Macaca mulatta: one gene and its partners. The protein of the gene in region 5 binds, or shares a complex with, the protein of the main gene of each other region. Links are inferred from orthologs where the notes say so. Each region holds a gene or a part of one and is shown on either strand. Other genes may lie near its edges.

What was found.
Region 1: DDX39B (region 5) and PPP1R8 share a complex: the UniProt entries of both Homo sapiens proteins name them as parts of the spliceosome. The link is inferred for Macaca mulatta from reciprocal best matches to the Homo sapiens genes DDX39B and PPP1R8.
Region 2: DDX39B (region 5) and THOC1 share a complex: the UniProt entries of both Homo sapiens proteins name them as parts of the transcription/export (TREX) complex. The link is inferred for Macaca mulatta from reciprocal best matches to the Homo sapiens genes DDX39B and THOC1.
Region 3: DDX39B (region 5) and THOC7 share a complex: the UniProt entries of both Homo sapiens proteins name them as parts of the transcription/export (TREX) complex. The link is inferred for Macaca mulatta from reciprocal best matches to the Homo sapiens genes DDX39B and THOC7.
Region 4: DDX39B (region 5) and SARNP share a complex: the UniProt entries of both Homo sapiens proteins name them as parts of the transcription/export (TREX) complex. The link is inferred for Macaca mulatta from reciprocal best matches to the Homo sapiens genes DDX39B and SARNP.
Region 6: DDX39B (region 5) and THOC6 share a complex: the UniProt entries of both Homo sapiens proteins name them as parts of the transcription/export (TREX) complex. The link is inferred for Macaca mulatta from reciprocal best matches to the Homo sapiens genes DDX39B and THOC6.
Region 7: DDX39B (region 5) and CHTOP share a complex: the UniProt entries of both Homo sapiens proteins name them as parts of the transcription/export (TREX) complex. The link is inferred for Macaca mulatta from reciprocal best matches to the Homo sapiens genes DDX39B and CHTOP.

The regions. Positions count from the first base shown.
Region 1 is NC_133406.1:213,109,927-213,114,427, reverse strand, and holds the start of PPP1R8 (nuclear inhibitor of protein phosphatase 1), read left to right. Parts: upstream 1-1,414; 5' UTR 1,415-1,420; coding exon 1,421-1,476; intron 1,477-3,333; coding exon 3,334-3,394; intron 3,395-4,501. UniProt on the Homo sapiens protein: Inhibitor subunit of the major nuclear protein phosphatase-1 (PP-1). It has RNA-binding activity but does not cleave RNA and may target PP-1 to RNA-associated substrates. May also be involved in pre-mRNA splicing.
Region 2 is NC_133423.1:71,588,748-71,592,714, reverse strand, and holds part of THOC1 (THO complex subunit 1), read left to right. Parts: intron 1-1,554; coding exon 1,555-1,673; intron 1,674-2,122; coding exon 2,123-2,171; intron 2,172-2,581; coding exon 2,582-2,677; intron 2,678-3,967. UniProt on the Homo sapiens protein: Component of the THO subcomplex of the TREX complex which is thought to couple mRNA transcription, processing and nuclear export, and which specifically associates with spliced mRNA and not with unspliced pre-mRNA.
Region 3 is NC_133407.1:127,419,025-127,423,726, reverse strand, and holds the start of THOC7 (THO complex subunit 7), read left to right. Parts: upstream 1-1,556; 5' UTR 1,557-1,599; coding exon 1,600-1,618; intron 1,619-4,702. UniProt on the Homo sapiens protein: Component of the THO subcomplex of the TREX complex which is thought to couple mRNA transcription, processing and nuclear export, and which specifically associates with spliced mRNA and not with unspliced pre-mRNA.
Region 4 is NC_133416.1:62,948,376-62,952,342, forward strand, and holds part of SARNP (SAP domain-containing ribonucleoprotein), read right to left. Parts: intron 2,898-3,967; coding exon 2,846-2,897; intron 1,669-2,845; coding exon 1,595-1,668; intron 1,149-1,594; coding exon 1,120-1,148; intron 1-1,119. UniProt on the Homo sapiens protein: Binds both single-stranded and double-stranded DNA with higher affinity for the single-stranded form. Specifically binds to scaffold/matrix attachment region DNA. Also binds single-stranded RNA. Enhances RNA unwinding activity of DDX39A.
Region 5 is NC_133409.1:150,793,431-150,797,397, reverse strand, and holds part of DDX39B (spliceosome RNA helicase DDX39B), read right to left. Parts: intron 3,067-3,967; coding exon 2,883-3,066; intron 2,833-2,882; exon of another isoform or gene 2,757-2,832; intron 1,873-2,756; coding exon 1,754-1,872; intron 1-1,753. UniProt on the Homo sapiens protein: Involved in nuclear export of spliced and unspliced mRNA. Component of the TREX complex which is thought to couple mRNA transcription, processing and nuclear export, and specifically associates with spliced mRNA and not with unspliced pre-mRNA.
Region 6 is NC_133425.1:4,268,914-4,272,272, forward strand, and holds the end of THOC6 (THO complex subunit 6), read left to right. Parts: intron 1-180; exon of another isoform or gene 181-450; intron 451-598; coding exon 599-714; intron 715-815; coding exon 816-880; intron 881-954; coding exon 955-1,058; intron 1,059-1,142; coding exon 1,143-1,180; intron 1,181-1,257; coding exon 1,258-1,306; intron 1,307-1,408; coding exon 1,409-1,480; intron 1,481-1,571; coding exon 1,572-1,674; intron 1,675-1,759; coding exon 1,760-1,809; intron 1,810-1,898; coding exon 1,899-1,961; intron 1,962-2,057; coding exon 2,058-2,168; intron 2,169-2,253; coding exon 2,254-2,388; intron 2,389-2,462; coding exon 2,463-2,543; 3' UTR 2,544-2,616; downstream 2,617-3,359. Other genes in the region: BICDL2 (BICD family-like cargo adapter 2), read right to left, coding at 2,980-3,147, 3,222-3,342. UniProt on the Homo sapiens protein: Component of the THO subcomplex of the TREX complex which is thought to couple mRNA transcription, processing and nuclear export, and which specifically associates with spliced mRNA and not with unspliced pre-mRNA.
Region 7 is NC_133406.1:113,394,906-113,398,872, forward strand, and holds part of CHTOP (chromatin target of PRMT1 protein), read right to left. Parts: intron 2,573-3,967; coding exon 2,419-2,572; intron 1,814-2,418; coding exon of another isoform or gene 1,730-1,813; intron 1-1,729. UniProt on the Homo sapiens protein: Plays an important role in the ligand-dependent activation of estrogen receptor target genes. May play a role in the silencing of fetal globin genes.

The DNA of each region.
Region 1 (4,501 bases), on a different chromosome or scaffold from region 5:
TGATTTATTTAAAAAAGGAAAAACCAGTCAGATAATCCTCCCAAGGCATCTACAAAAGTGAAGAAGAGGGGCATCAGTTGCATGCTAATAATAAACATAATTATACCAACATCAAAGTGTGAGAGAGAATAGTGATTCATGAGCATGGCCTTTGGCAACATACAGGTTTAGGTTTTTTTATCCCACTCACCACTTGTTCTAGGGTGAGGCTGGGCAACTCAATCTCTCTGAGCCTCTCCTCTGGAATTATAATAATACCTAACTCAAGAGCCTTGTCAGGATTAAATGAGATGATCCATATAAAATACATACTTGCCAAGGTAAGTGCTCAACAGACAATGCCATTACAACCAGAGGCCCTGCTAATGGTCTCTTTCAGTCATCTGGTGATCTAGGGCAAGCCAGCAATCCTAATGCTTCCTTGCACTATAACCAAAAGCAAAAAATCCTTTTTTAAAAAATTAACCATTTGAGCCAAGCACAGTGATGATTTGGACCCCTGCTTTCTGACTGGACCTGCTCCTGGCTCCAGCTTGTCCAGAGTTTTCATAAACAGACCAGGTGACCCCTAATGCAGATTCCCTGATAATCTACAGGCCTAGACGTGGATTAGGAAAAAAGTGAGTAAAGTGCCACTTTTTGGAGAAGGGCTGGATAAGTAGAAACAATAATCACTCCAATCTCCAAGTTTTGCCCTTTAGCTTCTCTGCTTTGAGGGCAAAAGGCTGACGGTCTTAACCTAAACGTTGGAGGAGGATGCAGTCCCCAGATTTTTTCCTTCTCTTTTTTTCTTTTTCTTTTTTTTTTTTTGAGACGGAGTCTCGCTCTGTTGCCCTGGCTGGAGTACAATGGCGCGATCTCGGCTCACTGCAACCTCCGCCTCCCGGGTGCAAGCGATTCTCCTGCTTCAGTCTCCCAAGTAGCTGGGATTACAGGCATGTGCCACTACCCCCGACTAATTTTTGTATTTTTAGTAGAGACGGGGTTTCACCATGTTGGCAAGGCTGGTCTCGAACCCCTGACCTCAAGTGATCCGCCCGCCTCAGCCTCCGAAAGTGCTGGGATTACAGGCGTGAGCCATCGCGCCCGGCTTAGTCCCAAGATTTTAGAGCCCAGAAGCGTTTGCAGGAGGACGCAGGGAGAGACTGACTCCCCTCCCTACAAAGTCGCTTTTCCTTTGATACCTCCTGGCCAAGGAAAACCATACACTGGAGACTTCCAGAGACGGCCAACTCGCACAAACGGTGGAAAAAAAAAATCCCAAAACCTACACTGTCCCCACTAGAAGCACCGCCCCCCGTACGCGCGTGCGTGCGTGAGCGTGCGTACGCACAGGCTGCTGGGATGCCGCTTTTCCCTTTTCGGTCTTCCAGTTTCCCGGCGTGCTTCGGGCCCGCCAAATGGGAGGGGGAGACGCAAGATGGCGGCAGCCGCGAACTCCGGCTCCAGCCTCCCGCTGTTCGACTGCCCAACCTGGTGAGTGGCGGGGCGGCCAGGGCTAGAGTGGCCTGGCCGGAGCTAGCCTGGGCTGGAAGGGCGGCTCTTTTTTTACTTTTCTGCTGCGAGCCGAACGGCTCAGAAACCCTGGAATGGTTGAGGAAAAACTGTTCGCTGCACCGGGCCGGGCGACGTGTTGAAGAACCGAGAGCCTGGAGCCCAGGCCCAGGAACTGAAGAAACACGGGATTGGGGGCTCAAAGGCGCTCACTTAGGCAGCCCCTTTGAGCGATTAGCCAGTCGCTGGAGCGCTTTGAGGCCTTTGCCCGAACTTACGCCCAACTCCTGACTGAGTGCCTGGTGCTCTCATGGAGCATCGTACCTGGCCCCTTCCTGTACGTCCCGAGCGCTCTCGAGCCAGCCCCTGCCCCAACCCTACGTCTGAGCCCCGCATCCCTCTTTGGTTGCTGCATCCCTCGTGCGGCACTTTTCTGTCTGCCACAGAGAACACGAGGGTAGGTTAGCGCCCTCCCTGCCCTCAGGGAGCTCCCAGTCTGTGGCACGAGTAGGCATTAGTAATGGCTGGCATGAACCCTTTTTATCCCTTCGAAAGTTCTTGGGAATAATGAAATAATTTGGCCTTTGAGTAGAGTACAAGTTGAATAAATATGAATTACCTTACAAGGAAACGCTTCTGAAATTAAGAGTTTTTTTCTGCTGTAGCTCATCGCAGTGTATTGTTTGTTACTTGTCTCTGTCTCCCGTTATATTGCCATCCTCAAGGGCAAAGACTGCATCTTTGTATTCCCAGCTCCAAGGCCTGAGTCAGGCACATACAGAAAGTATATTTTGGATGTAACATTCCTCCTTTTTCGTGGACAAAATGGCCTTTTGTCCGGTGCACTGTCCTTTCCATAGAGGAGGGGTTGGGGCAGGATTGTTTGAGATGACTGTGTTGCATCTTCAGTTAGCTAGACAAGGATACGTTTTTTTCGTGTGCAAATCTAGAGGTTCTAGTGAGGTGGTTCTTTTTTCTAACTTCAAATTAGCAAACCCAAAAAGCAAGCAAATGTGTGGCTATTTTCTGGATGGCTTTGCACTTTTGTAATGGTTGCTTCAGTCTACAAATTCTATATCCGTTTTGATCCCTCGCTGTATTGATTTCAAACTTGGACCAATACAGCAAACGTAGTTAGAAAGCACTGCTTTGAGATCACCTACCCTTTCCTTAGGGTCTGGTAGGTACCAGGCACTGTTAGGTGCTTTGACATATGTGAGTCTCCCTTGAATGATATGGCTGTAGGAGTATAGAGGAAACTTCCCTTAATCATGCTGTTGTAGAAAGACCTGTTCAAGGGTAACATATTCATTTGGTACCTGGTTTCATGGGGCATGATTTTGAATTGCCCTAGTTCCCTAATTATGCACCTCTGATTTGGTCTCAGAGCTCAGGACAGTACTCTGCTTACTCTGTGATGAGACTAATCTTGATCAGCCCCAAACAGCAACTAATTTATTCGATCTTTATATGATATTGGAGTAGGGGTAAATTTCAGATTCAAACTCCAGGTGACCAGACCACTCCAGCTATCGTACTTACACTCTCTATGCAGCTCTTTCTCTGAGGTGAAGATCCAGTGTTAAAATATAGGTTTCTTGGTGCTGCTCTAAATACAGATCCACTAAAATCTGTTTCAGAGCAGTTGAATCACTAGGGAAGTAAGTGTCAAACGTAGAATGGAGCTGTAATAACAGTGAAGTGGATGACATTTCTGCTTGAACATGAACTAATTATAGGCTGGCTGGTAGGAAAGCTGCAATGTTGAATGGGACAGTGATTGTAAATTGCATTTATAAACTCATCGTGAAAATGCTTTTTTCTATTTTTATTTTTCAGGGCAGGTAAGCCCCCTCCCGGTTTACATCTGGATGTAGTCAAAGGAGACAAACTAATTGAGGTATGGAAATACATGTCTTCCTTTTTTGCCCACCACACTAAAGATTTTTGCCAGTGACTCACTTTTCCACCCCCTCTCCTGTGCTTTGTTTTCCAGCAATGCTACTTTCTTTCATCCTGATTTTTTTTTCTGTTAAAAGCACATGGTGACATCACACACTTAAAGCTTGTATCTACCACAGACACTCACTTTTTTGTGACTTCTCTCAAATGAATGGTTTTAATAGGTCATGGGTCCTGTGGGCCCCAGTCAAACTGGAAGCCCTGTTAGCTTGGTTAATTCCCTCTCCCTGAGTACATGGAGTTGTGTAAACCGTGCAAGGTATGCAGTAACTGAAGAAAGTGAATGATATATGTTGAGTTTAACTTTTAAGTTAATTTTAAGAGATTCAGGCCCAACTCCTTATAAGAAATATGGTAAACTAAGACGACACTTACTCAAAAAGATAATGGAATTGTGGTGAAATTCATTAATTGATTCTTTGAAAACATGTATTGAGTGTTTACTATGTGCCAGTTACAGTGCTTGGCTTACAGATTGCAGCAGTAAGGGAAACCAACATGATTTCTCTCCTCAAGTCGTCCAGTGGAAGAGACAGAATCACACCAAAAAATTACATAGTTATATTTGAATTAAGTACTATAAAAGTTTAGCAGAATTCCAGCTTTTATACAAGCCTCTAGAGAGAACACCACATAGGAGTTCAAGAGAACATGAGTTTTTATTAGCTATTAGTTTACGTAAATTTTTTATAATCCTTATGGTATTATTTATTTACCAAGAGATGGATATTAAGCCCACCATGACCATGTAGCTGTGAGTCTCCCTGTATTAGACCAATTTTATATTTGCTTGCTCAGCTAGAATTTAGGTTCAAGGCCCCATTATTGAATGCAGTTTTTTCCTTGTGGTTTTTTGGTATTTAATAAAAATGTTGCAGTTCCATGGTTGCTAGATTGAAAAGCTATCTGAGATCTTTTGAAGGTTACTCTGTAAATATATTTTTGTCACTTTTGGGATTTTGTAGAGATGACCAGGTATTTTGCAAAGTATTAAGGCATGCATGAGTTTTAATGATTTCTCCTGTTATGAATACATCATGGACTC
Region 2 (3,967 bases), on a different chromosome or scaffold from region 5:
GAATCTATTTTTAGATGAGATTCCCAAACCTTGCTTAGTTCTACTGACTCAGAATTTTGGTAGTAGAATCTAGAAAAAGTTCTCTAATTATTTAATGTGAGTTAACTTATTCCAGGCTGTACTGCAGCTAAGGGCAGAGAGTATGCTTCTCAAATCTCTTGGATGTGCAGGGTATATAATATTGAATCTAAGTATTGTTCGGGACTTTCGAGGTCACCTAGTCCCGTCTCATCTCTGGCCTAGACCGCTTCCCTGCTGTAACATCCCTGATGGGTGGTCATTCAGCCTCTGCTGAATCATGCTCATTAGTGGAGGTCACTGTTTGAGTCCTGTTAGACAAGTGTGGTTATTGGTGTGTTCCCTTGTATTGAGTTGAAATCTGCTGTTTTATTCCACCACTGCTTTTCGGCAATATCCCTCACATCACATTCCAGATATGATCTTACTAGTGCAGAGTACAGCTGGAAAGATTTCTTCCTTTTTCTAGATATAGTGTATTAATGCACTGTTTTGGACTTAGATCACCCTAGATATTTTTCCCCATATACCATGCCTAAGTAACTACTTTTCTTAAACACTTATGAGTGTTAGTAAGTACCCATTGCCTTAAAATAGAAGGAAGGATGAGTAGGGATATAAAAGTATTTCTAGGTAGTCTGAATAGACTAAATAGACCTTTTCTTAAGAATATCTTAATTTTGTTGTTCTTTAAACAGTAACTTTCTACTTTTCCATTCTTTCCCCTGAAACAATACTGTTATTTTAAATGTTAAATCATAGTTAATATCAAACCTTGTTATTTTTTGAAGATAATCTTTTCAAATCACAAAGACAATTTAGCAACACTACAAAACATTTGGAAATGAGAAAAAGGGAAAACAGTACTCATAATTCCTCTACTTTTAAAAACCATTCATCTGGTATAATGGTTTTAGTTTCTATAGTCTTTTAAGAATTTTTTTATTGTCATAATCATATGTACATACAATTTTGAATCCTGCCTTTTTCACTTAGCATTATATCCTAAGCATTTTTCCAAGTTATTATAGTCGTTATAACCATCGTTTTTAATTGGCTGCATTATATTCTTTTGAATAGCTTAGTGGTGAAGAAAACAGACTGTGGAGCCAGACTGCCTGGGTTCGTATCCCAGCTCTGCCACTTACTGGCTCTGTGATCTTGGGCAAGTTATTTAACCTCTCTGTGTCTCAATTTTCCCATTCTATAAAATGCAAATAATGATATGCTCTACTTCATAGGGTTATAAGGATTAAATGTGTTAGTATATGTAAAGTACTTAGTGTGCCTGACATATAGTAAATGCTCTAGATCTTGTCAAGAATTATTGTCATCATTACTGAGTGCACATATCAAAAATTACTTAAATATGTCCTGTTTGGGGACTTGTAGGCTGCTTCCACTTCTTGTCCTTTTAAAACTTTGTTATGAGTAACAAAGTGTACCTTTTAAGATATTCTTCAGTATTATTTTTCATAGGCTGTTTTACTCTAATGTTTTTTTAAACTTTTAAACTGGCTTGTGCTCCACTTGAAGGTATTTGTACCGCATCTACACCTTTTGTATTGTTGGGAGATGTTTTGGATTGTCTTCCTTTGGATCAGTGTGACACAATATTCACTTTTGTGGAAAAAAATGTTGCTACTTGGAAATCAGTAAGTGCCTTAGTTTCTTTTCCTGCTAACTTTGTATTTCTGTAGATTCAGAGTTCTGAGGGTAGATTTAAAAAAAGAAATTATTTGTAGTATTGCTGATCGCCAACAAGTTTGTGCCTATGAAAAAATTATATACTGCTCTCTTGGGAGAGCCAAGTAAAAACCATGTGTGGAGAAAAACTTGAAATACAAAATTTGATTTAATTTGAGTAATAAAAACTAACTTGAAAATTCACACTTTCACATGTTAAAAACAGTATCATGTTTTCTTATCTTATATCTGAAAATATTTTCATTTCATTGAAAATGTTATTTACTTTAAAAAAGTGTAAGTGGCATAGTAGATTCTCAGTGCATGTTAGTGTTCTTTAATATTTTACTTCCTGCAACTTATTGAAGAATGTGTAACAAGTTCAGAAGAAGAGTGATAATTTCCATCTTAATTTCAGAATACATTCTATTCTGCTGGGAAAAATTACTTACTACGTATGTGCAATGGTAAGTAATTGAGTGATTAAATGATAGCTTTTTAAAATGTAAATATGCCCAGAAAAACATGTGGTTGAATTAAATACCAGTGATAACATTTTAAAAATAGATTAGGTATTTGTATTTTTAACTAACAATCGGATTTATTAGAACTCATTCACTTTAAGCTGTTTTTGTTCTGGGCATAAACTTAATGAAAGTCAGAAACATGTAGTAAAGTTTGTCTTTTTCATGTCATGTTGAACTTGTTTTGTTCCTAATTTCTAGTACTTTTTTGTGGCAGTGGTTTCTGCCCCCATTTTAAGAACTACTGCTTTAGGAAAATACTCTCGACAAACTGGTTTAGAAACTTTTAGGTATGGTTGTAATAAACATAGAATTATCTTTTCTGTGTAACGTTCATTTTCATATATCATTAGATCTCCTAAGAAGATTGTCTAAATCCCAGAATACAGTCTTCTGTGGACGGATTCAGCTCTTTTTGGCCAGGCTTTTCCCACTGTCTGAGAAATCAGGTAAGCTTTTATGCGTTAAATGAGTTTTCTGCAGGAAAATCTTTTCCAGTTTTTAATAGATTAAAATCTGTCATGATAATGAGAAAAATGGTTCTAAAAAGTTGAAAGACATCATAGAAATTGTCACTTTATTTTCTTTTACTTATAAATAGTTATAGCAGTCCTAGTATATAATACAGGTAATCTTGAAACAAAGTCATGGATTCTTTTAAGTTCAAAGCTTATTAACGTACAGTTGAATCATACTGAAACATGTAGATATAAACCGTCACATCTATATTTCGTAATGTATGCCTATTTTTGTGTTTCCATTTTCTCTCTCAGTCACGACTACTTAGCTATATAGACTTCCTTTCATTTCTCTTTTTTAACAGATTTTTATTGTGAAATATAATGCTTATATAGAAAAGTACATAAAGCAAATAATAATGAAACAAATACTGTATAACCACTCTGTAGCTCCTGAAATGGGACATTGCTTATTCTCCAGAGCCTTCCCCCTCCCCAGTCGGTTCAGATATGCGAGATTTTAATATCTCATTGCTTCAGTTCTCTTTTTCTTAATGCTGGGCTAATATACCACCTATTTTATATGTTGTGAGGATTAAATGAATTAAAACACGTGAAGAGCTTACAGTAGTGCCTGAGTATGGTTAGTATACACATATGTCTTTCCTAGCTCTGGTCTCTGAGAGGGCCGCAGAAGTAGTGATACTCCAGTAGCAATGAGCACATCTTCTCAAATGTAGATCATGAGGTCAGGAGATCGAGACCATCCTGGCTAACCCGGTGAAACCCCGTCTCTACTAAAAAATACAAAAAACTAGCCAGGCGAGGTGGCGGGCGCCTGTAGTCCCAGCTACTTGGGAGGCTGAGGCAGGAGAATGGCGTAAACCCGGGAGGCGGAGCTTGCAGTGAGCTGAGATCCGGCCACTGCACTCCAGCCTGGGCGACAGAGCGAGACTCCGTCTCAGGAAAGAAAGAAAAAAAAATCACTATGGTAGCTATAGCCTCATGAAATGTATTTCTTAGATAACAGGACTTGAAAGTTGAAATAACCCTTTGATTCATTGGCTACAAAATGGATGATGTATTAGCAGGCATGAAAACAACATTAATTTCCTTGTGCATCTCCATCAAAGCTCTTGGGTGACCAGGTGCATTGTGAATAAGCAATAACATTGTGAAAGGAGATCTTTTTTTTTCTGAGCAGTAAGTCTCAACAGTGGCCTTAAAATGTTCAGTAAACCATGCTATAAACAGATGTGCTGTCATCAGGGTTTGTCTTTA
Region 3 (4,702 bases), on a different chromosome or scaffold from region 5:
GTCAGTATTTTTTCAAAGTCAGGGAAACTTCACACCCTAGGGGAGGGCAAGTTACATCTCAGAATCTTCACATAAAGTAATTTTTGTCTTTGTGACAAAAGTTAAATTCTTGAGCGCTAATTCTTGAGAGCACTGTAATGGTATTATTGAAGTCACTGGTCTCATATAATATGACTAAAATTGTACATATTTCTTGCTAGAGGTTAAACACACTTCACTTTAATACATTTGCATCTGCAGCTTCTCCTCTTTGAAAGAACTGGGGGGAAAACAGGGATAATGTACCTAAAGTTAGTAAGGAAACTGAAACAACCAAATTTATCCCACACAACTTCTTCATCCTGGATATGAAGATGCAAGATCTACTTAGTGGACAGGAAAATTGGAAAACAACGATATGACTGAATAAAATAACAAACCTGTGTCAACTGAGACATGATCCTGGTGCTAATCGTATCTATCCCACTGGAGGTCAAATCAGCTGTATTGGTGCCTGTTTCCTCATCCACCTCTCACCACCTAAACGTGCCATTTACGAGAAAGCTATCGAAGTTGAGTCAAAGTGATTTCGAAAAGAGATGCCCATATAATTTGCAGTGTGCTCCAGACAACTACACACAAGGCAACGTTTCTCATTGAGCACCCCCGCCCCCACTTTCAACTTCCCCTTAAGATAGGGACAGTCACAGAAACATTTTCTGAAAATCAAAGAGAAAAATAAATAAAAGCACCCCATCATGATCACCGACGAGATCCCGACTCTGTGGTGGAATTGGGTGCCGGGTGAGGACGATGGGCACACGCTCCTGGTCGCTCCGCGAACTCCTCCGGGAGGTCGCCAAGTTTCTCTTTCACCCTTTTTCCCGCACCCGCCGAGCCCAGGAAGGAAGGGGGCGGCCGCAGGGGCCGGAACCGCGCGACCTGGAACCCGGGGCCTTTTCTGATTGCCGGCCGCGCCCCGCGCAAGTGCCGGCGTTCGAGACCCGCCCCAGCGCGAGTGGGCGCCAACTTCGAGGGGACCCCCAGCGACGCGTCCCCTCTGTACCCCTAGTCCCGCCTCTCCCGGGCTCAGCCGGATCCTGGCGTCCCCGTCACCCTCCCCATCCCCCAGGGAAGCGAGCCCACCCCTAGCAGCGTCACCCTGGATGGGGCGGCGGGGCCGCAGTCACCTTCCCGGAGAAGGAGCTGGGGCCCCGACTCCGGGCGGCCCGCAGCCCCCGCCGCGTCCCCGCAGCCCTGGCGGCGTCCGGGCGAGCTCACCTGGCGGCTGGCTGCGGCCTCCGGGGCGGCCTCTGGGCGTGGGCCGGGCGGGGGCTGCAAGGGGGGCGGCGGGAGCCCGGCCTGCAGCCGGGGCCGCCGCCGGCCGCCTAGCCTCACCCCAACTCGCGCCGGCCGCGGCCGCCCCCGGGGAGTACCGGGAGCGTGGGGAGCGGGGGTCCCGCGGCGGCGGCGCGGCGCGGCTCAGGCGTCGGAGCAGGCGGCCGCGGGCGCCGCCGCCTCCTCCTCCATGGCTGTTTACCCGGCTGCATTGTGGGAGTTTGACCTCCGCCGCCGCCAACCGCCGCCTCAGCTTGCGCCGCCGCCGCCGCCGCGCACGCCATGGGAGCCGTGACTGACGGTGAGGCCCCGCTCACCGCCACCCGCGCCGGCTGCACAGCCTGTTCGGCCTCCCCGGAGACCCCTGGCCTCCCAGCCCGCTTCCGGGAACCCCTCGGCCTGCCCCGGCCGCTTCGCCCGAGCGCTTCGGCCTTCCAGACCCCTCCCCGAAGCCCCGGGCCTCCCCGGCTGCTTCCCTGAGTCCTTCCTCTCGCCAGAGGCCGAGCGCCCCTCGGAGCCCCTCGGCCTCCCCCGCCCGCTCTCCCGAAGGCAGCGCGGGGCTGTAGGGTGTGCCGGGAGCGTGGTCGGTGGGCTGGGAACACACGTGGGAGGCCGAGACGGCTAGAAGCGGTGCAAGGGCGGGTGGGACCGGAGGGAGTACGGGTTTGTCTAGGGGCGCGGTGAGGGCCCAGGAGCCGCGAATGGTGGGCGGTGGTGCCGGGCTTGGGGCTGGGGGCCTGGAAGGTTTCTGGAGGACTAGGAGGGAGTGGGAGCTCCAGGGATGGAACGGGAGTTTCGGGACTCGTCTACAAGGGATGTCAGGATACGGAGCGTGACACCTGGAGGGGTCCTGGGGCATATTGGGAAGGACTCACAGACAATGGAGTCGATGGCAATGAGGCCTTGAACTGCGAGTGGATTGTGGGTGAGGAGAGGGAGCAGGGAATTATTTATAAAAGGAATACAGAGGGATGAGGTATCCGGAGGGTAATGGGGAAGTGTACCTGGGAGATTTACGGGGGGTAAGGAGGAGCCAGTATAGTGATGAGAAACCATCTAGGGTAGGTCAGGAGGATAGAAGATGTATATGTGTTTGTTGGGGAGGGTGATTTGTCAGCTGGAATGGATTTAGAGGGGCAAAGACTGGGTTTGTGGACTGTCTAAGGGAGATGGTCTATGGAGTGAGAGCAGAAATAAGGTGACACTTTGGGGAAAGGGGAAGGGGCATGATCGGCAACTGGAGGGAGAACCTACAAGTTATCTGATTAGGGAGGAAGGAGGTCCTTTGATATCTGGGAAGGGGAGATCTAGGGCTTTTGGGTGTTTTTCAGGAGAGGGTGACCAGTAACTAAATGCCTGTGGAGAGGCCACTTCTGAAGAGTTGAAGACCACCAGGGTCTCCACATTAAAGGGCCTGGCCATGGGAAGAACAGTGATAGGCCCAAATTTGCAGACTGGTAAAGAGTAGTGGAGGTGGAAGACTACTAAAGACCCAGGAACTTCATGTAGAATTTCAGCTTTGCTTCATTCCAGTTTCATTTATTTAGTGGACATTTATCCTTCCTGGACTAGGCTTTGGGATTACAACCCAGAACCAACAAGCAAGAACTTTTCCCTCTCCAAAATTTCGGTCGGAAGGGAAAGAAACATTGACTAATGAGTTTTAAGAGTGACAAATATTACCACAAGGAAGTACAAGGTTGGTAACTGTAGGAACATGTAACAAAGATTATCCAATCAATGGAAATGAGAAAGCTTCCCCAAAAAAGATAATCCCATTTTTGAAGAATAAATAGATGTTGGACTGGTGTTCTGGGTTGTTAGCCACTTGTACAAAGGCCCCAAGATGTTGGAAGAACTCAAAGTTGACAGTTATTGCTAGAATTTAGAAAGTTATGAGCCAGAGATTTCTAAGGGCAATGGGAAGCCATTAAAAGTTTTAACATTGGTGTTGTGCTAATCAGATTGGCATTAACACACACACATGGCCGGGCACAGTGGCTCACGCCTGTAATCCCAGCGCTTTGGGAGGCCAAGGCAGGTGGACCTCTTGAGCTCAGAAGTTCAAGACCAGCCTGGGCAACATAATGAGACCCCATGTCTACAAATACAAAAAAATTGGTCTGGCACAGTGGCACACACCTGTGGTCCCAGAACTTGGGAGGCTGACAAGAGAGAATCACTTGAGCCTGGGAGGTCGAGGCTGAAGTGAACCACGATCGCATCAGTGCACTCCAGTCTGGGTGACAGAGTGAGACCCTGTCTCAAAAAAAAAAAAAACAAAAAAAACCGCATACACACTGTCTCTGTTATGTGCAGAATGATTAGAGGAAGAGAAAGTGAGGAGCTAAGTTTCCTTACCACTTACTAACGTTTACATGGTGCTGTCAGGTAATATTCTAATTGTTGTCCCCATTTTACAGATGAAACAGACACAGGTTAGCTTGCCCAAGGTCGCACAGATAGTAAGTCATAGAGGGTCAAAGGCAGGGAGACCACCTGCGGAGTTCCCGCTCTTCACTATTATGCCTCCTGTGTCTCCTATTTCTGCAGTGGCCCTGGTGAGAGACAATGAGGACTGTGACCAAGAGGGAATGCAGAGAAGAGGACAGGTGGGAGGGAAATTTGTGAGGCAGAATGTCAGAACTTCGGGTATTGAATGAATGCGGGGAGAAGGGGTTTAGGATGATCCCAGGTTTTTGACTTCACTGTGTGCCTGTTAGCACTACTTTTCTATTTATTGAGATAGAGATGTCCAAAGGAGCGATAGGCTTTGTCAGATGGGAGATAGGGACAGAAGATGAGTTCTGAAGTACTGACTGCAGTAGAGTGCCCCACCACATCCTTAGAGTCCACAGGAATCTCTACCCTGCCACTTACAGACTGTCTCAGCTTCGGTCTCTGAATGGAGATAATAATAAAATCTGTGTCAGCGGATTGTTTTGAGGATTAAACACAAAAAGTTGTAAAGGGCTTTGCATTGAGTCCAACACATAATAATTAATGTTCAGTAAATATTATTAAATGTCAGAGTAGTTTTACTAATCTGTCTTCCACTTTCCTTTGATGTGGACTGTGCCTTCTCTCTTAATCTGCACAGGTTGCCTTTTCCTGCCTTTTCTATCAGGTGACACTCCACTTTTTCCTCAAGACCCAACTCAAAAATCCCCTCTTTCCTGGAAGTAGTTGACCCTCTGCCTATTAGCCATGTTATTTTATGCATATTGCTGCTGTCACCCTTAATACTTTATTTATATGCCTTATGCTAGAAAAGATTTAAGGCAGTTCACCGTAATGAGAAAATGTACAAATTAAATGGATTAGAAAACAAGACAAAAAGAACACTGAAATTAGGAAAAATAAAGGGAAGTCAGAAGTGGGGTGA
Region 4 (3,967 bases), on a different chromosome or scaffold from region 5:
AGTCTGGGTGACAGAGCAAGACTGTGTCTCAAAAAATAGTAATAATTTCCTCTAATTCATTATAAAAGTGATACATATTCATTGAATCGATTTTAAAAACACAGACAAGCAAAAAGAAATAAATCATTCAAAATTCCACCAACCAGAGATAATGAGTACTAACATTTTAGAATACAGTCATCCCTCCATTTCCTCAGGGGATTGGATCCAACCCCAACCCTGCAGCTGATACCAAAATCCACTATGCTCAAGTTCTGCAGCGGATTATAATAAGTTGCTCCTCCATATCTGCAGGTTTCGCATCCCAAAAATACTGTATTTCTGAACCACATTTGGTTATGAAGAACCCTCAGATACAGAGGGCAAAGTGTATTTATTGGGGAAAAAAAATAAATCCATGTATAAGTGGACCTGTGCAGTTCAAACCTGTGTTGTTCAAGTGTCTACTGTATATCCTTCCAACCTTTTTTCCTATCTATACATGCACTCTTACATGACTAAAATGGGAACATACTGTTAATATAAATTTGTAACTTTTTATTAATATCGCTGATAAATATCTTTCAATATTATTTCAGCACAGTATAGTCTTCTATACCATGGCACACATTTAATAACCAATTCTCTGTTGTACAGTTGGTTGTTTCCAGTTATTGATCACTGTGATATTAATGCTGTGATAATCCTTGAGGCTAAGTCTTTATGCACATTCAAGACTATTTCCTTATACGTTCCTAGAAGTAAAACTGTTAAGGTAGAAGATATTCTTTTCCCTTTTATCACTTATAATAGCCAGTATAACACTGGAAAGTATGCAATAATTTTATGCAGTTGAGACCCTAGAATAAGTAAGCAAAGTACTAGAGAAACTTCTTTGAAGATGTTCAAGAAAGACAGACAAATGTTGGCACTTCCTATCCTCTCATAACATTCAGTATCTCTTTTAATTGCCCAGGAAGGCCTAAGTATAATTATATCTAAAGCAGGAGATGAATGCTATAATCTCTTAAGAGTTTCTACAGCTAGCAAATTTACTTTATTTTGGAGAAATGAAACCTGTTATACCAGAAAAGAAAGAATAAAAGGGTAACTTTCTCAGAAGTATCTCTGTACTCTTACCTTTTGTTGGAACTGAAGAAATCCCAAACCTGAAGAAGGAAAAACAAACTAAATTTTAGGAAGCTGTTCACACTCCTGGTTGTCTGTCTCCGTGTCAAGTATACATATGACACTTCTTGCTTGTGATCTCAAGTCTTGCAATCATTAGCTAATTCTAACAACCCCATGAAAGAGGTTCAGTTTACTCTCCCTCTTACCAAGTCCAGAGATTAAGCTAAGAGGAAGCCTTATCAGAATTAGTAGTAGTAGTCAGTTCCTGGCTTTAACTGTTACAAAAACCCTTCTCAATAAAGCCCAATTTATAGCTACTATAACCAAACCAGTAGATACGTTCTGAATAGGGTCAAAAAAGTGTTCATATCCTTCAGCAAGCCTCTATTCTACTTAAATCAACAATTATATCAAAAACCTAGGATCACATATCTTCACCTTTACAACATCACTATCGCAGGCCCAAAAGGCTGGGGACACTCACCTAGCTGCCCGAGCAGCTTTCTTACTCTCCAAGCTCACAGGTACATTGAATCGTTCAGCCCTCTTCTGCATTCTCTAAGTAAAAATAGACAAAAAAAAAAAAAAAAAAAAAAAGGAAGAAAAAAGAAGTCAATTTATGGTTTAAGAAAGTTAGTCAGAGGTAGGTATCTTTAAAAAAATAAAAATAATAAAAATAAAAAAATTTTTTTTAAAGTCTCACTCTGTCCCCCAGGCTGGAGTACAGTGGCATGATCTCAGCTCACTGCAACCTCAGCCTCCTGGGTTCAAGCGATTCTCGTGGCTCAGCCTCCCGAGTAACTGGTATTAGAGGACTGTGCCACTGTGCCCAGCTAATTTTTGTGCTTTTAGTAGAAATGAGATTTCACCATGATGGCCAGGCTGATCTCGAACTCCTGACTTCAAGTGAACTGTCCACCTCAGCCTCCCAAACTGCTGGGATTACAGGCGTGAGCCACCCCGCCCAGCCAAAAGAAGGTATCTTAAAAACATCAGAAGTAATTTCTTAGGGTCCAAACTGAAAATACTGACAATCCTAGAAGATAGCAGGTTGTGTCCATACTAGGACTTAACAGCCCTTCCCAGAAAGCAAACACAAAAAGACTATTATTACATACCCTCAAAAACAAAAGGGAGAAATAAAGTAAAACCTATATTATACATGAAGCCAAGAAGTCAAAAGCTATGTTTGGCTGACCTTTGAAAAGTAATCAAAGGAATAGCTTGGTTCCAACACTAATGGCATTCTTTCAGTTAGAAATGAGGCAGCATTGTTTTATGCCATTCTAAAAGAGTTTAATAATTCTCTACTTTGCAAGTATGACACTGAACACAAGATCTCAACTGGAACCTGGTTTCACAGTCCTACCCCACAGAAACCAGTGGAATTTCAATCTCAGCTACTGGCCGGTAGCAACATAAGAGTCACATCTACCAATACATTTTCAAAGTACAATCCTCCCAAATTCTAATCCTAGGTTTGTAAACATCTCAAAGAGAGTCATTGTTAAGACAATAGTGTTACATATAAAAAGACTACAGCTTCAAGAAAGACTACCCTATGCCAGCCAAATATTTTCCAAAGAGCAGCTGGCAGTGAAACGTTTCAACACCAAAATCTGTCAATACTGATTTTCTGCCTGTGAATAAATTTTAGAGGATGATGCAGATATAATAAAGGGTAAGAGGGAGACAGAAATGTAGAGACTGTTCTACTAGGGAACAGAATACCTACCTCAGTCTGTGGTATTTCAGATGTAATTTTCACCACTTTCTTCTCTGCTGCCCTAGAAAAGAAAGAGATCTTTTAAAATGAGAAAACTGATATTCTAAACCACAACCTCAGAAATGTGTAAAAATTCACTTGAATTATCTCTGCCCTATTATCTCTCTGCCACCCCTTATGCCAAGGAAACATGAAGTTCACTAGAGCTTTGGTTCCTTTAACTGTCATCTATTGAGAAGAAAGAGTTCAAATAACAAACTAATCTTCTTTAGCTAAAGTACAATAAAGAAATAAGGAAAGAAGTCTGGTTAAATACACTGGGCTGAAGGGAAACACTCAAAGGACACCAGAAACCATCTCATTTGCTTTTAGGAACTTTTTAATTTACTTTTTTTTTTTTCTGAGACGGAGTTTTGCTCTTGTCACACAGGCTGGAGTGCAACGGTGCAATCTTGGCTCACTGCAACCTCCACCTCCTGGGTTCAAGAGGTTCTCCTGCCTCAACCTCCCAAGTAGCTGGAATTACAGGCGCCTGCCACCACGCCCAGCTAATTTTTGTATTTTTAGTAAAGATAGGGTTTCACCATGTTGGCCAGGCTAGTTACGAACTGGCCTCAAGTGATCCACCTGCCTCAGCCTCCCAGAGTGCTGGGATTACAGGCGTCAGCCACCAAGCCCAGCCTTTAATTTACTTTTGAACTAATGAGTAACCCTCCAATCCTCCTTTAAGCACCAGCTCCCAATATTCATCACAACAATTAAGTACTCTACAAGGTCTGGTTTCCTTCTTTTAAAAATCCCTTATTTCTCCCATGAGGAATGTAGCTCTAGTTGGAACAAAGTGGAACAAATAAAAATGCCAAAGAAGGTAGGAAGAAAAAAGTCTAAGGGGAGTTTGAATTAGGAAAACATGGCATGTTACTGGTCAAAGGTTTAAGAGAAAACAAAAGAGGGGGGACCACAGGGGCGGGAGACAAAGTTCGGAAGTACCCAGGATAAATGGAAGGGCATTAACCCTCCACCAAACAACTCCCATAAAACTGTGGGTCATAACCAGTCTCATTAAGGTCCCTCATTTAGAGACATGGGCAGCTTTTGTTCCAATATCCCGGACACTTTTCCCATTTGATG
Region 5 (3,967 bases):
TATCAGTAAGTGGTATTAAAAAACCAAATTCAGAGCAGGCAGATATGCTTTTAAGGGACAGGATCTCACCATGTTGCCCAGGCTGGAGTGCAGTGGCTATTCACTGGCACAATCATAGCACATTATAGCCTCAAATTCCTGGGCTCAAGTGATCCTCCTGCTTCAGTCTCCCGAATAGCTGGGACTACAGGCACACACCATTATACCTCACTGCATTCATCTTTAAAATTTAAAAACCCCCTGAAGGGGAGGAGAGTAACAAAGACAGAAATTACCACAACTCCAAAATACAACTTTCCTAACACTTTTGTACTTCTCTGGGGGAAGATAGTTAATATTAAGACCCAGAGGACAAAATAGGAAAGGATGGGTATGTCATGGGAAAAAACAGAAGCCCAATCCCAAAAGGCAGGTTTTGATACAGGGTCTTACTCTATCACCCAGGCTGGAGTACAGTGGCACAATTACAGCTTACTGCCGCCTCCGTGTCCCAAGCTCAAGCAAACCCTCCTGCCTTAGCCTCCCAAGTAGCTGGGACTACAGGCATGCGCCACCACGCCTGGTTTTTCTGGTAGAGACAAAGTCTTACTACACTGCCCAGGCTAGTCTCAAATTCTTGGGCTCAAGCAATCCTCCCATCTTGGCCTCCCAAAGCACTGGGATTAGAGGTGAGCCACCAGGCCCAGCCAAGGCAGGCTTTCTAAAGAGAAGTTCCATGGCCTTCTTCAAATCTCATTCTAGCCCCAAATAAAGCTAAAGAGTTATCATCCCACGGGAAGGAACACTGCAGGGAGAACACACTCCACTGCTTATGCAATTGGCCCCACCTAGCCCCAAACCCTAACACCCACCCGATTACATCCACTTTACCTTTCCTATGTCCCTCTCCTCTGAGTATTAAAAAAAACAAAAAAATTTTTTAAGGAAAAAAAAAAAAAATCTACCACCCCATTGAGGACACCCCTCCCCAACACATATGGGGGGAAACGGGGCACGGCACGCGTTGGGTTCAGGAAAAAAACCGGGAACGGAAAAAGAGGCTGGTTTGGTCCTCAGCTTCCTGGTCAGGTTTCCCCGCGGCCTCCGCTGCCGCCATCCACCGCTGGGTGCCGTCTGCATTCCCTCGCCGCGCCACGGTGCTTCTCTGTTGCCGGCTCACATCAACCGAGGTTCCAGATGGGTGCAAGGAGATGTGGGTGGGAAGGAGTAGGGTATCGGGGATTGAGGTGCCAAAGGCCCCCACCCCTGGAGGTGGGGAAGGGGAGGATTCATTTGTGCTGATGCTCTTCTTTTGGACATGCCCTGCCATCTGTCTGTCCCTCTCTTGCTCTCCTGCCACCGGAAAGTAGGAGTTTTGGTGAGCAGAAGGCTCCAGCTGTATGCTCGACGCCACCTTGACAGTGCGTGGCTGTAGGGGGCACGTAAGAGACGATGGGTGGGTGGTAGGGCAGAAAAATTCTGCCCTCCCCCAAAGGGAGAAGAGGTTCAAAAATGTTGTGATTTTTGAAAAAGTCGAACACTACCCGCTCTCACATTAACCCGACCAAGTCTTCCGGAGTTTCCCTGGCACCCGCGCAGACCCTAACACTAGCTGTCTCTGCTTCTGTATGTCTCTTCAAGGAGTCATTACTCCCAGTTGGGCACAAGCCGCCTTCTTGGCACTTGAATGACAAGGGAGTCTGAGGAAGAGGGCGAGGAAGGGGAGGAGGCAGCGGGCGGGGAGTGGAGGGAGAGAAGGTAGAAGGGTATTTACATCTTGCATGAACTTGCGGCAGACTGGACGGATCTCTTTGCTCAAGGTAGCACTGAACATCATGACCTGCTTCTCGTGGGGGGTCATGCGAAAAATTTCCTGGACATCCCGACGCATGTCTACAAGAACAAGGAAAAAAATTGTAGGAGAAAATAAGCAAGTATGATAAACAAAGATTAGAGGTAGACTTTCCAGTGAGGTGAAGATTGCTGGAAATAGTAATAACACAACGGAAAAAGCAATGGACTTGGAATCAAGAATTGGGATCAGATTCCAGCTGTTCGTTTTAACCAAGCAAGAAATAAGATAAAACCCCAAAGTTCCCAACTATAAAACGGGGACAAAGCCCAGTGCAGACGCTCTCAAGGCCTTCGAAACATGCTTTACAGGCCCTTCTCCCAATCCTTTCCTGTCCAAGCCCCAGCCAGCCCTCAGGAGACTACAAGTATCAACCATATATTACATTCCAGGTAGCAGAGTCCATCTATGACTCTCTGGATCACTTTTCTATCAACTCAGGCAAATATGACATTGCTACCTGGAGCCCACCTTTGTAACTCACCACACTGAATTGCCGAAGACCATTTGTAATGACTTATGGGGCCTATGTCCAACCCCACACTCATTCACCAAGATTCAAATCTTACAGAAAAAACTTCCATTAACCCCACTTGACACACTAGAATACCACACCACACGAACTGCTACACTCTCTACATTAATCCCAGACCTGAGTCTAGAAACTTATTCAGCTATAAATTCTGACTGTAAATGCTGTGCTGGAGATGCCAGAAGGGTACTGTCTTCTCTTTCAGTTTAGAATCTCCCCTATGACTTCCAGTATAGGAATCTATAATGAAAACGATGGTGGTGGTGATAACTTAGGCCTGAAATTACCGAAGTCCCCTATTCTCAAAGATTAAAAACAAAAATCATAGAAAGATGATAGATGACATCCTTTACTGTGCTTAAAAGCATAATAAAGCCCAACCAGGGAACCCAGAACCATCAGTCATGGGTGATAGATAAGAGTCGTCCTTGCACTGAGGCGCTCCTGTTTCAAATAAACATCATTTGGCTCCAAAGAACAACTCCCCAGCATTAGCCAAGTCCCAGCACTGCCACTCACCGAGCTGTTCAAGCATCTTATCACATTCATCCAAAATAAAGTGTTTAATGTGTTTGAGGTTGAGGCTCTTATTTCGAGCCAGGGCTAGGATACGGCCTGGAGTCCCCACGACGATATGCGGGCAGTTCTTCTTCAGCACCTCTTCATCCTTCTTGATAGACAGACCACCAAAAAAAACAGCAACCTGCCGAGAGCCAGGAGCAAAGAGTCTCAAAAAAGAGGAAGGAAAGAGTCCAATCCCCCCAGAGTTCCCACTGTTTGAGCTAAACCAATTTTTAGCATGTTTCAAAACTAAAACGAACTCTAGAGGTCACCTAATTTAGAAATGTTATGTCCCCCCACCAAACACTGAGGGTGACTGCCTAAAGTTACATAGCTAGTCGGAGCAGTCAGGACAATAATTCAGTTCTTCTGACTTAATCTAACCGTCTTCCTTCATTTATGAGGCCAAGCCTCATTTTAAAAATAAAGGAGTCAGGTGTGGTGGCGCACGCCTATAACTCCAGCTACTCGGGAGGCAGAGGTTGCGGTGAACCAAGATCTCACCATTGTACTCCAGCCTGGGCAACAAGAGTGATATTCCGTCTCTAAATAAATAAATAAATAAATAAAATAAAGCCAGGCCCGGTGGTTCACGCCTGTAATCCCAGCAGTTTGGGAAGTCGAGGCAGGTGGATCACTTGAAGCCAGGCGTTCAAGACCAGCCTGGCCAACATGGTGAAACCCCATCTCTTCTAAAATACAATATTTACAAATTTACTACTAAAATACAAAAACTACAAAACTTAGCCAGGAGGCTGAGGAAGGAGAATCGCTTGAATGCAGGAAGTGGAGATTGCAGTGAGGCGAGATTGAGCCATTGTACTCCAGGCTAGATGACAGAGCGAGACTCCATCTCAAAAAATAAAAAATAAATAAATAAAGGACGGCAAGAAATTACCAGGATTAGTATAAAGTACCACAAAAAAACACATGGAACATTAAGTTTTCCTAAATAAACCCAGAATCTCAAACTCCTTCATACAAACCCCATGAAATTACTGCTTTGGGTGAAATATTATCACTTCATGTTAAAACCATTAGGT
Region 6 (3,359 bases), on a different chromosome or scaffold from region 5:
TTTTGTATTTTTAGTAGAGATGGGTTTCTCCATGTTGGTCAGGCTGGTCTGGAACTCCAGACCTCAGGTGATCCGCCCACCTCGGCCTCCCAAAGTGCTGGGATTACAGGCGTGAGCCACTGCGCCCGGCCCCACATTTTTAAATTTTTTGTTGAGACGGAGTCTCACTATTTTGACCAGGCTGCTCTCGAACTCCTGGCCTCCCCAAGCAGTGGATGACAGGCATGAGCCACCACACCCGGCTTCAGCACTGAGTGACAGCCCCATGGAAAGCTCTTGTCTATACACTAGCTCATCTAATGGTGATGGAATCTTCTGTGAGCTCCACTTGACAGTTGAGGAAGCTGGTAGGAGAGTGCTGGGTGCTTGCTCAGAGGTCCCTGAGGCATCACCTCGACTCGCCCCTTCTTCAGTGTCTTCTTGGAGCCGCCCATGGGACTGCATGGGCAAGTGCTGGCTTGGGGCCGGGCCGCCTCAAAAGAGGGCTGAGAAGTCAGGACAGTGGGAGGCCTGGCAGGTGTTGGGGGAAGCAGGAAGGAGTCTGTGGCTGGGAGGTTTCATACATCCCAGGCAGGCCTCATCCAGTTCTTCCCTGCAGACAGAGGTGTTCCAGGCCTTGCAGCGGCTCCATATGACCATCTTCTCCCAGAGCGTCTCACCGTGTGGGAAGTTTTTGGCGGCTGGCAACAATTATGGGCAGATTGCCATCTTCAGGTACCCTCTGCCGCTGTCCACCCATTAGCCCTGGCACTTGGCCCTCATGGGACGGATGCCCCTGTTTCTGACTCCTGGGTCCCCTCCGCTGTCCCCTGCAGCTTGTCCGCTGCTTTGAGCTCCGAAGCCAAAGAGGAAAGTAAGAAGCCGGTGGTGACTTTCCAAGGTGGGTATAGCTGTGGAGTCTGGCTTCGGGACTTTGGGTGGAATTGGTCAACTCAGTTCTGCATTTCTCTTTAGCCCATGATGGGCCTGTCTATAGCATGGTCTCCACCGATCGACATCTGCTTAGTGCTGGGGATGGGGAGGTGAAGGCCTGGCTTTGGGCGGAGATGCTCAAGAAGGTAAGGAGTTGAGCTCGGGAAAGGGCTGGGGTGCCGGGACCCAGAGAGAGCCTTTGAGGTCAACTGGTATTTTCCCTTTTGAAGGGGTGTAAGGAGCTGTGGCATCGGCAGCCTCCATACAGGTGAGCCAGGGCCACATGGATAGAGGGGGCATCGGGGTGAAGTGACTTCCTCACTGACCCTGCCTTTCCTTCCCCAGGACCAGCCTGGAAGTGCCCGAGATCAATGCTCTGCTGCTGGTCCCCAAGGTCTGAGCCCCATGTGACTGTTCTTGTCCAAACTTTGATCCTTCACCCTCTGCCTACCCTGATTTGACATTGACTTCCTGCCTCACCCTGCTCCCTCCACAGGAGAACTCCCTCATCCTGGCTGGGGGAGACTGTCAGTTGCACACTATGGACCTTGAAACTGGGACTTTCACGGTGAGCAGGGTCTTGGAGCCCTAGAGCAGGTCCAGGCCAGGGAGAGGCACTCTTCCTAGGTCTCCTCCTGACATCGCCCCTCTACATGCAGCGGGTCCTCCGGGGCCACACAGACTACATCCATTGCCTGGCACTGCGGGAAAGGAGCCCAGAGGTGCTGTCAGGTGGCGAGGATGGAGCTGTTCGACTTTGGGGTAAGGAGGTGGCTGGCTGGAGGGCAAGATGGCAGTGAAGGAGGCTGAGGTGAATGGGGCACCACTCACAGTTCTTTCCCCGCAGACCTGCGCACAGCCAAGGAGGTCCAGACGATCGAGGTCTATAAGCACGAGGTGAGGGTCTGTCCATGGCCATTGTCCTCTTCCCCTCCCGCTCCTTGAATTCTGCATGTCTTCACCTCTTTCCCTCCCCCGCCGCCCAGGAGTGCTCAAGGCCCCACAATGGACGCTGGATCGGATGCTTGGCAACTGATTCCGACTGGATGGTGAGCTGGGCAGACTGTGGGATTGGATGGCAGCTCCGGGCCCTGTCAGCTGTGGGCCTGTAGTTCACAGCTGGGGACTCCCACCTTTCTGTCCAGGTCTGTGGAGGGGGCCCAGCCCTCACCCTCTGGCACCTCCGATCCTCCACACCTACCACTGTCTTCCCCATCCGGGCGCCACAGAAGCATGTCACCTTCTACCAGGACCTGGTGAGTCCCTCTCTCTCACTTCTGCCACCCCAACTGACTCTTCCCTTCAGTCGTGACCCCCGAGCACCTTCCCTGTCCTCTGCAGATTCTGTCGGCTGGCCAGGGCCGCTGTGTCAACCAGTGGCAGCTGAGCGGGGAGCTGAAGGCCCAGGTGCCTGGCTCCTCCCCAGGGCTGCTCAGCCTCAGCCTCAACCAGCAGCCCGCCGCGCCCGAGTGCAAGGTGGGTCTGGCAGGGGCCATGGGGTGGCTGGGGCAGGGGTGTGGGCAGGCCAGTCATGCCCCTCTTTCCTCCAGGTCCTGACAGCTGCAGGTAACAGCTGCCGGGTGGATGTCTTCACCAACCTGGGCTACCGAGCCTTCTCCCTGTCCTTCTGACCTCCGACAACATCCCCAGCCAGCCCAGGGTTTTAGAGTGTTTTTCATTTTCTTTTTTACAATAAAGTTTCAGGCTTTTTTTCCATGCTCTTTCTTTCCACGAATGGAGGCTAAATCGGTGGAGTGATTTATATATTACTCTGTCCCATCTTGATACATAAATACCCAGCCCCATCCCTGCCCTAGAAAAGATAGACCTATATTGATTCGGAAAATAGCTCTGTTCACCTGCCCCTGCCACCCACCAGGGGCTCCTGCCCCACAAAGCTGGCCCCTGCTCCGGATGAGCCCCTGCTGCCGATGAGCCCTTGCCCAGCATCCTGGGGTGGGGAGGGCATCATCTCCTTTTGGAAGATAATCCAGGCCCTGTCACTTAATTGGCCAGAAGAGGAAAGTGAGCCCCTAAGCGGGCAAGGGCAGCCCCTGGGCCCAGCCGTCAGGTCCTTCGGAAGAGGTTGCTGAGAAAGCCACCGGCGGGCCCGGGGCCCAGGCGCAGCGAGAAGCGGGGCGCGGCACGGCGCGGGGTCGACGACGACGCGGCGGCGTTCAGTTCCTTCTGGCGCTGTGAGCGCAGCTGCTGCCCGATCACCACCTGCATGTCGTCCTGCGGGAGGCCGTGGTCGGCTCAGCACCGGTCCAGCCCCCTGCCCTCCTCCGCACACGGACCCCGCCCCTCACCTGCCAGGCCTCCAGCTCCTGCGTGAGCGCCACCTTCTGGCGGATGGCGCGCAGCAGCTCCCGGTACAGGGAGTCTCGCTCCAGCGAGACGCGGTTGAGCTCCAGGGACAGCTCCAGGGCCCTAGGCGGGGAGGGGCG
Region 7 (3,967 bases), on a different chromosome or scaffold from region 5:
CATTATTGTTAACTTTCTAGCACAAGATCATAAATCGCTTCTAATCAGTGGGAAAGGCTCCAAACATTATGCATCTAGCATAAGTAGGTGTAACCAACCATAACAGCCTGTCCTATTACTCCCCTGATTAACACACAATTATGAGGTCAGACTGCATTCCACAAGTCTCTTGCATTCAGTTATCCTGCATATAGTAATTTCCCAAGCTTTGTGCTTTAAAGGGAGAACTGTACAGTGCTCGGAAGTTCTTTATCCATTCCAATCCTTAACTGCCACCAATACTGGCCTTTAATATTAACAGGAAACTTAAGGATGTCAACTCTACCACTTAGTTTTCACTCTAGAGCTGTGCTGCGTAAGGCAGCCTCTAGCTACATGTGGCTATTTAAATTATTATTATTTTTATTTTGAGACAGAGTCTCGCTCTGTCGCCCAGGCTGGAGTGCAATGACACGATCTTGGCTCATTGCAACCTTCGTCTCCCAGGTTCAAGCAATTCTCCTGCCTCAGCCTCCTGAGTAACTGGGATTATAGGCGCTGTCACCACGCTGGGCTTATTTTTGGTAGAGATGGGGTTCTGTCATGTTGGCTAGGCTGGTCTTGATCTCCTGACCTCAGGTGATCCACCTGCCTAGGCCTCCCAAAGTGCTGGGATTACAGGTGTGAGACACCAGACCCAGCCTAAATTAAAAGTAAATTTTATTTATTTTCTTGAGACAGAGTCTCACTGTCGCCCAAGCTGGAATGCAGTGGTGCTATCTCCACTCACCGCAACCTCCACTTCCTGAGTTCAAGATATTCTCCAGCCTCAGCCTCTCGAGTAGCTGGGATTACAGGTGTGCGTCACCATGCCCGGCTAATTTTTTTTTTAGTAGAGATGGGGTTTTGCTGTGTTGGCCAGGCTGGTCTCGAACTCCCGACCTCAAGTGATCCGCCTGCCTTGGCCTCCCAGAGTGCTGGGATTACAGGCCTGGCCTAAAATTAAATTAAAAAAAAATTAAGCTCCTTAATTGCACCAGTCACATTTAAAGTTTTCAATAGCTACTGTACCAGATAGCAAACACAGAACATTTCCATCGTTATAGAAAGTTCTGGCTGGGCACGGTGGCTCATGCCTGTAATCCAAATACTTTGGGAGGCTGAGGCAGGCAGATCACTTAAGGTCAGGAGTTCAAGACCATTCTGGCCTTGAACCAACATGGCAAAACCCCGTCTCTACTAAAAATACAAAAATTAGTCAGGCATGGTGGCGGGTGCCTGTAATTCCAGCTACTTGGGAGGCTGAGACAGGAGAATTGCCTGAACCCAGGAGGTGGAGGCTGCAGGTGAGCTGAGATTGCGCCACTGCACTACAGCCTGGGTGACAGAGTGAGACTCCATCTCAAAAAAACAAAACCACATAAAAAAATTCTAGTGAATATTACTACTCTGGATCGGGACTACTTCCTGCAGAGCCTATACTTAAAGCTTCCTGTTGAAAGGTCTTTTGGAATGATCTGTCAGAGACTCATCTTCAGCAATTTCCATTTACTCTTGGAAAATGGTGGTGCCTTTTGCTGCTTTCCTGAGTCAGGGAGGAATCCAGTCACTCCAAGGCTTAAGACAGCCGAAGCAGAAAGTCTTGTTTATTTTTGGTCAGTGAGCCCAGTGGTTCAGGGTGGGGGTGTAAGGGTGTTATATTTAACTGCTGAATTTATGCACAGCCATGCAATGCTACCAAAGCCCTTACAGTTGCATGGCACCGCCCTCCAGACGCCCAGCCACAGCTTGGACATATCCTTCCACAGCCACTGTCCGGACTTGCATATAAATTCTATGAATAATAAAGAGTAGGTTTTATTCAGGTCTGAATAGGATTATCTCTCACTGTAAGTTTGAAAGAGAACCCCTAACTCAAATTACTCAGTACTCTTGCTCCACTTTACTGGTAAAACTTTAGGTGCTGTGGAAATGAAGGTCACTCTACTCTGTATATTTTAGCATTGAAAATCTTTGACTAAGGCCATGCAAACTCCCTGCACTAGGGGAACAAGAATAAAATTATTTCCCTGGTGGGTAAATCATTTAACAGAGAGTAAAGGATGCTGTGAGATTATCTAAAGCTGAAATAAAGTTTCTTTGTGGAATAAGCCATTAATTTATGTTAAGGGTTAAAGATCTGAAAACAAAAGATTAATACTCATTGGTAACAGAAACAGGCCACATAGATGGCAAACTCCCTAAAAGAGAAAGACAATAAAAAGTTACTTATTGGTACCTGCCAAAATTGGAATTCTCTGAACTTCTCTTTCTTCCAGAGAAGTTTCAGTTTTTTGCCCTGAGCCACTTTGCAATCATCCATCACGTTCTGACAGCCTCAGTGGACTCCCTGACAGAGATCACCAGCTGCTTCTGGAGCATTAAGACCCATTCTCTCACCTGCTTAAGTTTTAATGCTGCCTGGACAGAGGGTCTATTCTCCATCTGCTGGGCCAGTCTTCTGTTTCTGGCACTGGCTAGCTGCTGTTGTTGCTGCATCGAAGCCCGAATATTCACTGGCGTCGGCTGTTTGTTCTTCAGCATATTAGTAAAGCTTCAAGGTCGAACAAAATGGATGTTTAAATAAAAGCTTTATTACAAACATTTATTGGCATTTTCATGGCTTGCTAGACCAGGAGCTCCAGATCCCACGAACTTTTAAGTAAAGTGGTACACTTAGATCAAGGCTGATGTGGGTTAAAGACTCCTCTGTTTCCACAAACTTGCAAGAATCAGAAACTCAGAAATGCAGCTAAGTGCAGCACATTCAACCAAAAGTGATAACAAGGGCTCAGGTGACAGCTTTTACAGAGGTGGAAGGTATGAAAAACACGCAATAAGCAGATATGACAAGAGACAGAAGATATAGTTTCAAAGACAAACAAAGAAAGCCTAAACTTGGGGGATCCAAGGTGCATTCTAAGGCCAAATATGAGGAAGGACTAGAGCACCTTCAAAGCTCACAGCAATTAACATACTCTCATAAATTACAGGAGTGTATCACATTTTAAAATATGTCACTTAGTAACATGCAAACATAAATATTATTATGTAAACATAAATAATTAGCCTATAGCCAAAGAGATAAGGAGAGAAGCACACATGCCTCAGAAGAGGCAAAAATAGACATTAAGTAAATTCCAGTGGTCTAAAGTCAACTTAATGAAATCACTGATCAAAGGCAATCTTTTTTTTTTTTTGAAACAGAGTCTCACTCTGTTCTCTGTTGCCCCGGCTGGAGTGCAGTGGCACGATCTTGGCTCACTGCAACCTCCGCCTCATGGGTTCAAGTGATTCTCCTGTCTCAGCCTCCCGAGCAGCTGGGATTACAGGCATGCGCCACCACGCCCAGCTAATTTTTCTATTTTTAGTAGAGACAGGGTTTCACTATGTTGGCCAGGCTGGTCTTGAACTACTGACCTTGTGATCCACCCTTGGCCTCCCAAAGTGCTGGGATTACAGGTATGAGCCACTGCGCCCAGCCAAAGGGACTCTTAATGAACAAAGTTGTCAAAAATAGAAACTGCCTTTAAATACTTTTACTTTTCTTAGTCTCAAATCATCACTTTTTCTGACTCCAAGTAGTTACTTTTGAAAGTTAGATTAGTTCGATCATTTATGAGCCCGTGAAGAGACTCATTATTTCTGTCAAGGAAGTGTAATGGAATGGAAGAGAAGAACACTTAACTGTAAAAGAATCCAAAACAAAACCAAACTAAAAGCAGAATGGAAAGAAAGTGAAATGGAGCAAAGCAAGTGCCTCTTACAAGGCCCAAGAACGACATTCAAGGACCTTTGGACATATTCATGGCTTGCTACCTGCCTCTTACAGGCCAGACACAACACTGCTGGCCTTGGACTGGGCAGCAAGCCTACTGTAGCCAGGGTACCATGCTACCGTGCTGCACGACCCCTGTATCAATGTAAAAAAATGTGAAAAGGGAGGGTG